Tribolium castaneum: one gene and its partners. The protein of the gene in region 1 purifies or fractionates together with the protein of each later gene. This does not show direct contact. Links are inferred from orthologs where the notes say so. Each region holds a gene or a part of one and is shown in the gene's direction. Other genes may lie near its edges.

Region 1 (2,918 bases):
CTTTCTCATAAAAAACAAACTGGAAGTCAAACCCAAATCGCATTTTTTATGTCAAATGTTTAAAGGAGTTGTGTAACAGGGTGAGTCCACTGAAAGTATATTTTTACTATGCATTTCTCAAATGGTTATTTATGTAACAAGTCCGCAAAATAGGGTTTTAGCGGACGAATCGGATTAAGGACGAGGCGACAAAGGAGCAAGTTCTTAATGAGATGAGTCCACTAAAACTATTTTGTTCGACTAAAGTTTTTAACAAAAATTGACAATTAAAAAAAAATAGAAATTTGCTTTGAAATGAAAAATCGTTAGTCACGCATTTTTAAATATCTGTTTATATACTGTTAAATATAGTACAGAAATTGCATTTAATGAAAACTTTTCACATTTAAATAAAAACTGTTTCAAAACTATAAAAACTCCAACGTCGCATTTTACTGAATTATTTCATTAAATAATATTGATAAAACTGTAAAATAGTTATGAATGATTAGATCTCCCCTTGAAAGTATCTATAAATTACATTAGCTATTACGTCTTTGAAATGCATGAATAATTTATAACAGCTATTTTGAGAGAAAATGCGACGTTGGCGTTTTTATACTTTTGAGACAGCTAATATAATCAATTGAAGTGGCCTAAGTATATAATTAAGGACTTAAGCCGATTCAATTGAATTATACCTTACCATGTACCGTAAATTTTTTCAGTATCATATTTCAAGTTTTAAGTGCAAAATGTCAAATAAACATCAACACACCTACTTGATTGATCGCATCATAAAGTACAAACTCAAAAAATAAACCAGAAACACAATTAAATATGTTTATTACTACAACCTTGTGTTAATAACAATTTCTTAAACATCATAGCCCACAATATGACGTTTACCGATGCATTCCCCTACATAAAACCAACACAATACTTCAACTGTCACAAGGGTGTTCAACCAAGCCTCCTTGACTGGAGTTTCCTTCCAACGTCCCGTTCTAGCCCCACTGATTAGACGACTTATCCCACTGCGAATTTCGGGAATATCGCCAAGAGTCGGAGGCGTCAACTCGACTTTAGCGTACTTGACAAAGGTCTCAAGACGCGGTTTTGCCTCAGCCGCCAGTCCTTTGATAAAAATTACACAATTACGTAACAATCACAAAAAACGAAAAATAAGACACAAAAATGATCACAAATGCTTACGTGCGGCAAGAGCCGGAGCTTGTGAAATTAATTTCGACATTTTTCGGTGGTTTTATTGTAAAAATTGATAATTTGGGGCCTTAGAAATGTGTGACACTTGACAGCTGAGACTGGGTGTAGTGTTGCCAACCGGTCCGAAAGTTACCAAACACCGAACGATTTTTTTATTCTCTTAACGCAAAAATCGATTTTTTTGCCGTATTTTGTAACAAAATGTACGCTATTTAACATAACTGGTTTAAACTTGTAATTAATTGTGTCTTCATTTTTTTTATATTTTTTAATCAAGATGATGGCGCCCCCTGCTTAATAACTAGCGCGTCCTTAATTTAACCTTGAGAGTGTTCAATTGAACCGTATTTTTCGTTAAAGAAGTATTAAACCAGACATTCCGCTCCGTTTGACTACATTGGGTGAGTACTATAAATTCTACTATCATTTTGCGAATTAATTGCGCCCAAAAATAATTTTATTAGAAATCCGGCCTAACCTCACTTTTTGATCGATGAAATTCAAACATAACCTCACTTCCTGATCGAACCTTGGCCTCTCCCTCCTCGCATTTAATTTATAATAGTAGTGATAAACACTTGCCGAGTCATTGTAATCACTCGACTCGTTCTAGAACAAAATGCCGACGAAAGCAGTTTGTGTCCTAAACGGCGAAGTTAAGGGGACCATTTTCTTCACACAAGAAAATGGTAAAGCCCCGGTGCAAGTCACCGGCGAGGTGAGTGGGCTCAAGAAGGGGCTGCATGGGTTCCATATCCACGAGTTTGGGGATAATACCAATGGGTGCATTTCGGCTGGGGCCCACTTCAACCCCCATGGAAAGGATCATGGAGGGCCCACCCATGACGTACGTCATGTGGGGGATTTGGGGAATATCGAAGCCGGGGGTGATGGAGTTGCCAAAGTTGGTATTACTGATAAGTTTATCTCGTTGGAAGGGGAGCATAGCATTATTGGGCGCACTTTAGTGGTTCATGCCGATCCGGATGATTTGGGACAAGGGGGCCATGAATTGAGCAAGACTACAGGGAATGCTGGCGCTCGTTTGGCGTGTGGTGTTGTTGGAATCACTAAAGCTTAAGTTTTTTTTTGGTTGGAATTGTTTTTTTTTGCTTTAATTTCAAGTTAAATACGAAATAATTTTGTAGTGGATGGTGAAAGAATAAAATATTTTAAGTTTTTATTTTGTTGTATTATTTTTATTAATTCCATTTAGCAACAGTTACTTAATAATTACTCTTATTAAATAATTAATCTTAGTTATATCCCATTTCAGTTCATAGTAGAACTGCAATAGCGCATTTGAATTTTTTATAGTGAAAAATAAAGCACAAATTGAGAGTTTCTGTATAAGAAGATTCTTTGTTAAAGTAAATCCAGCGACACACTTTGAGCTAAGAAAATCTACCAAAAACTTTCATTTTGTGCTCCATTTCATTAAAAAAAATGCAAATGCGCTGTTGCAAAATTGTACTGTGAACTGAAATGGGATATATTAGCTGTTTCAAGACTAGAAAAACGCCGTCACATTTTCTCTCAACATTAGCTGTTATAAATTATTCACGCACTTCAAAGAAATAATAGCCGATATAATTTATAGTTTCAACGAGAGATCTAATCATTAATAACTAATTTACAATTTTATCAATCTTTGACACTTTGACAATATTTTTTTAATTTGCACTTTACATTCTTGTATTAGCTGTTTCAAA
Region 2 (2,437 bases), on another chromosome or scaffold:
GTAGCGTTTTACTACTCATTCTCAAAAAAAAAACTCAAAAAATTCAAGCTGAATGAAGTCTTTTCTCCTTTTATTTATTTCCATAGCATATGTGCAAGCGCCTAACCTTCCCAATCAAATTAAAAAATAATTTATTAGTTGTGGGTTGTTTCGAGTCCGGGTGTGATTAAATTACAAATTTGTAGAATCCTCGTGCGGAGAGCCCTCACGACTTAATCAACCCCGGGGACATTCGCCGGTTCGGCATCGTGCCAAATGAAGCAAAAATTTCGCTTGGGTGTTTTGCGCCCTTAAAAACGAAGATGCGTTTATTATTTTTCGTTGGTGGTCTAAATTTGACGCGTTTAATTAAAATCGACCTTAAAAGATTCCGCGCTGGTCGCATGCAATTAAAATAAATAATGGAGCGTCATCTTCTATAATAACTTAAAAAATTATAAATTGTGTGCGGAAAAAAGTTAATATGTTTGGCTTACGGCCGTTTTATTAAAAGCGGACTGATTAAAATGTGAGACGAAATTAAAAAGAGAGACCGGGGAAGTGGTATTATTGTGATATGGTGCGGTATCGACGCGGCGTTTAATGGCCGATTTTGAATTATTAAGTGGGTGCATATCGAATATTATCAGCGCGAGTGTTACCCATTTATATTTTAGATATGTTTTATTGATGGGTAAAAGCCGCGCCGAATAAAAAAGAAACTGGATCACGATGCATTACCAACAAAACATTCACACAATATCGGCTAATATTGTTTGGAAAAAAGTTTATCTATTTTTGTTTACCTAAATTAGCATAATTGCATTCAGAGATTACAAATCACTTATCAGTATAAGTGAATATGTATCTAAAAACTGGTTCTATTAAATAAACCAGGAGAAAAGTTTCGGCACTTTGACTGTGGTGCCTTTCCATATTTTTCAAAACTCTGCAAATAGCTCAAAAATACAAGAAATATTAAACAAAGAATGTTGAAAAAGTGGTTATTTACCAATTCAAAGAAAAAATTATTTATGAAAATTAACAGTTGTTGCTAAAGATTAGGAGCACACCACAGTAAAGGCTAGAATTAATTTTTGGTTATAATTTAAAAAAAAAAAAATCCATGGATATTTTTGAATTGGGAGCTCCTATTTTTGTATTCTCTAGTGGGCAATAGCTGAAGCACGCAACTATAGGCGTGATTTCTGTTTTACCGACGATTATTCTAGAAAGCAATCTCGGACACACTAAAAAGAAATAGCGATATGCAACTCCATAGTTTAAACAAAGACAGACAATGGGGATTTTGACAATTTAGTGCGACTGAAAACCTCGTGTACTTTTGATAACCTCATATCGGTTTCGAGCTGATTCTCGTGTTTGCCGGCAAGTTTCTCGAAAGTTCTTCTTTACTTCCGCCAATTAAACACAAAAAATGGTAAGTTTACGCTTAGCAATTAAACGTGTGTTTAAATTTACAAAAAAATGCAGTCTGGAGCTGCCAAACGCTTGATTCCCCTCTTCGACCGTGTGCTCATCAAAAAAGCCGAAATGGTCACGAAAACCAAAGGCGGAATTGTAATTCCTGAGAAAGCACAAGCCAAAGTTTTGCAAGGGACTGTTGTGGCCGTAGGACCTGGTGCTCGGAATAATGTAAGTTGAAATTTTGACGTTTTGGATTTTTCCTGACTTTGAGCATTTTTTAACAGAATGGAGAGACTGTTCCCTTGACTGTTAAAGTGGGAGATAACGTACTACTTCCGGAATATGGGGGCACTAAAGTAGAACTTGAAGAAAATCAAGAATATCATCTTTTCAGGGAATCAGATATTCTAGCCAAATTGACGCAGTAAAACCGCCTTTTGTACTTTTTTTTTGTAATTTCGTTACATTCTCTATGAGAAGTCTGCCGTAAATTTAAGTTATCAACCTCGATTTTGCTATTTTATGATCTGTGGTAACTTAAATTTTACGGACGTGTTATTTTCAGCAGAGTTGAAATGTTACTGTCTGAAAATGTGTTGTTTTGTAGTCATCTAGTTTAGGTTATTTCGTGTATATTTCCAAATATATTTCTATAAAAAAAATCGATTTTATTTAAACTATCCAGTTTTCATCAATCTGCGCAGTGCGCAAAGTCGGCTGTGCGCACTTATGCAACAAACGTCAATTTTCGAAGTAACCTCAAAATTACCAAGTCAAAATGAGTAAAAATATTCGGGATATATCCCCTTTTTTGCAAAAAGTTCGTGACTTTTTGCTGGGAAGGCCCCACACTTTGGCATTGCGATTCCAAGACGAAATTGCCACAAGATCACCCCCGTTACCTAATCTCCCAGACGGGCCTTCGCATTGCTTGAGCAGTAATTATTATTACACAAGGGATGCACGACGTGAAGTGGCCCCACCTGAAATCGTGGCATCCGGACAGAAGTTGATAGCAAGTGGCGAAACA
Region 3 (2,869 bases), about 10 Mb from region 1:
CAATCACAGCGACGCCGAATCGGCCTGTGATAGCCTCAACGGCACCGATTTCTTGGGCTCGAAGCTGCGCGTGGAAATCGCGAGGGGCAAGTCCCGCCGCGGGGGCTTTAGGGGCGGCCGGGGCCGAGGCGGGCCCCCGTACCGCGGGGGCGGCTACGGTGGCGACCGCGGCTTCAGAGGCGGCCGCGGGGGGCGGCCTGGAGGCCGCTTTGATTCCTACGGGGGAGGAAGGCGCGATGATGGAGGGCGCTCCTACGGAAGGGATTTTAGCAGGAGGAGAGATGGCTACGGGAGCAGGAGTGATAGCTACAATGGGCGAGGGGGCGGAGGCAGGAGGTTCGATAGTAGTAGCTCCCGGTTCAGGTCAAGGTCGCCGGCGGCAGCCCCACCAAGACACTAGTTACGATTAAGGCATAGTTTGTATTCTTATTTTTTATATTTTCGTTCAGTACAATAATGCGGAAAGCTGATGATGTATGACTAGTTTAAGTGAGTATATGGATCTGAACTTTACGATGATGATGACGTATTTATTGTTGCAAGGGGCAACTTAGATGATTATTTTATTACTTCGTAAGAGTGAAATAAAATCTAGTACCTTAACAAATATCACGTGTTAACACACGGTTTTTAATGGCTTTCCGGTCATACACAGTGTGTCTCACTGTTTTTCATTACTTAATTTCTTTTCATTGTTGTTTGTGGGATGAATCACCCTTTACTGTAATGGCATAATCAGTTGCAAATATCGAATCGATATTTTTACTAAATAATCGCCACTCTTTATTTGTACAAAAGGCTCAATACTAATAATAAAAGTGTTAGATCTTATTGATCATTTTTTAATTGCTGCCCTTCAAACTATCCTTCCGAGTACCTATGTAGCTTCCATGATTTTTTTTAATAAGGACATTCCACTATTCCTGGAATAACTGCATCCCGAGAAATTCATAAATAAATTATTCAACAGAACATAAGCGAAATATCTGACAAACTAAATTCATTTGAACTAAAAAATTGCATTATTTGGCGGAATGTGGTCATAAAAGCGCATTTTTTCTATAAAATTTTGCGAAACCCAATTATTTCGCTACTTTTGCGTTTCAGTGACATTTTTTCCATCGGGAATACAATTATTTTACAAAAGTTCGCAGAAACTAGGTTCAAATGCCGTCTTTACTAAATACTACCACCGATTATTTACTACAGTTACAGATGTGACTCACGAGGATAATTCTGAACACGAATTTAGATTAAATGTAACTAAAAAATGTATTTCCTTGCAAATGCTTTCCGGATGAATTACGCTAAATCAATTAATTGCCTTGAGAATTAAAAATTGAATAGTACTGGTGGGTGCATGGTTGCACTGCGCAGTCGTTTTAAGACACCAAGGTCATCTCTTATTCACTTTTCTAAATAATTAAAAGCCGGTATAAAATGAATGTTGGTCAACTGACGTCGAGCAGAATCATTTGCAACTCATTGTTAACTCAGTTTGTTAAAAGAACACTGAAAACAACAACAGCACTCAACATGCCTGCAAAGGTAATATAGCTCTTTATTATGTAACATAATCACATGTGAAAATGGTTATGTTTATATTATTGTTTATAACAGGTCGGAGATTCCCTTCCAAACGTCGACCTCTTTGAAGACCTCCCGACCAACAAAGTCAACTTAGCCCAACTGGCAGCCGGTAAAAAAATAATCATTTTTGCAGTCCCTGGTGCTTTTACACCCGGTTGTTCGAAAGTACTAACTGTCCTTGAATTGCGCACTATTATTACATGCGATCATTCCAGACTCACCTACCTGGTTACGTACAGAAAGCTGAGGAATTAAAGGGTCAAGGGATCAGTGAGATATTTTGTGTTTCTGTAAATGACCCATTTGTTATGGCAGCATGGGCTAAAGACCAAAAAACAACCGGAAAAGTCCGACTTTTGGCCGATCCTTCAGCCGCTTTTACCAAAGCTTTAGATTTGACTGTTGATATTGCCCCACTTGGGGGCACTAGGAGCAAGAGGTACTCCATGGTTGTTGACAATGGCAAAATTACCTCGCTTCAGGTTGAACCTGACGGCACTGGCTTGACCTGCTCCCTAGCCAATGCAATCAAATTGTAAAGCAACATGTCTTTGAAGTGCTGTTGTAATGTTGCATTATTTTATTTTATCGAGGATAGGAATTTATGGTTGATATTTTTATTATTAACTAAGTTTTTTAGTTTCTGATTAAAACTATTTTCAAGGCTCGTTGCAAGACCAAATAGCATTCATTGATTATTATAGGTTTAATTATAGTACTAGTGATAATTAATAAACCGTTACAAAGAATTATCGTATTGTAATTAACACTTTTTCCATATCCATTTTCCTAAAAAATTGTTTTTTCTTAAATCAAATGTCGGCAGGAACTAAGGAAATGATTAAATATTCTTGGAATCATTTGCTTAAATATCGACTGAGTAATTGTGCTTTTCTAACAGTTAAAGTTTTTAATTATGCAAATCGTATCGATTGGTTCTGCTGTTTTTACACCTGACTTGCCTCACATTGCCATGAATATGAATAAGTCTTATTAAAGAATAAATAATTTAAAAAAGATTGTTGTGTTATGAACAGATATGTAAAATTCAATATAACGAGAATTAAGTAAATAATGCTAAAATATTTAACCATATCAAATGTTGACTCTTGGTATTTGTATTACAATTGTTACGATTTACACAATAAATTATTTAAAATACGTACATAATACTTTGGTCAGCGCTTTTGCATTTTATATCACAGTGTAGTTATATAAAAAACACATGTTTTCATAATGCATAGACGTAGTAACAAGACAAAATTTAAAAAGTTTGGAA

The links.
Region 2: the proteins of Sod1 (region 1) and 10 kDa heat shock protein, mitochondrial purify together in Homo sapiens (affinity purification with mass spectrometry; 3 studies listed by BioGRID, with this or other methods). This does not show direct contact. The link is inferred for Tribolium castaneum from reciprocal best matches to the Homo sapiens genes SOD1 and HSPE1.
Region 3: the proteins of Sod1 (region 1) and Prx5 fractionate together in Homo sapiens (co-fractionation; 3 studies listed by BioGRID and IntAct, with this or other methods). This does not show direct contact. The link is inferred for Tribolium castaneum from reciprocal best matches to the Homo sapiens genes SOD1 and PRDX5.

Annotation. Positions count from the first base shown.
Region 1 is NC_087402.1:12,361,726-12,364,643, reverse strand, and holds Sod1 (superoxide dismutase [Cu-Zn]), read left to right. Parts: upstream 1-1,278; 5' UTR 1,279-1,409; intron 1,410-1,466; exon of another isoform or gene 1,467-1,483; 5' UTR 1,484-1,607; intron 1,608-1,694; exon of another isoform or gene 1,695-1,770; intron 1,771-1,819; 5' UTR 1,820-1,825; coding exon 1,826-2,287; 3' UTR 2,288-2,389; downstream 2,390-2,918. Other genes in the region: ATPsynG (ATP synthase subunit g, mitochondrial), read right to left, coding at 857-1,116, 1,195-1,234. UniProt on the Homo sapiens protein: Destroys radicals which are normally produced within the cells and which are toxic to biological systems.
Region 2 is NC_087398.1:1,431,320-1,433,756, forward strand, and holds 10 kDa heat shock protein, mitochondrial, read left to right. Parts: upstream 1-1,261; 5' UTR 1,262-1,417; coding exon 1,418-1,420; intron 1,421-1,473; coding exon 1,474-1,635; intron 1,636-1,691; coding exon 1,692-1,835; 3' UTR 1,836-1,907; downstream 1,908-2,437. Other genes in the region: NADH dehydrogenase [ubiquinone] 1 alpha subcomplex subunit 7, read left to right, coding at 2,186-2,437. UniProt on the Homo sapiens protein: Co-chaperonin implicated in mitochondrial protein import and macromolecular assembly. Together with Hsp60, facilitates the correct folding of imported proteins.
Region 3 is NC_087402.1:1,937,816-1,940,684, reverse strand, and holds Prx5 (peroxiredoxin-5, mitochondrial), read left to right. Parts: upstream 1-1,378; 5' UTR 1,379-1,440; coding exon 1,441-1,548; intron 1,549-1,620; coding exon 1,621-1,755; intron 1,756-1,805; coding exon 1,806-2,129; 3' UTR 2,130-2,339; downstream 2,340-2,869. Other genes in the region: RNA-binding protein Rsf1, read left to right, coding at 1-400. UniProt on the Homo sapiens protein: Thiol-specific peroxidase that catalyzes the reduction of hydrogen peroxide and organic hydroperoxides to water and alcohols, respectively.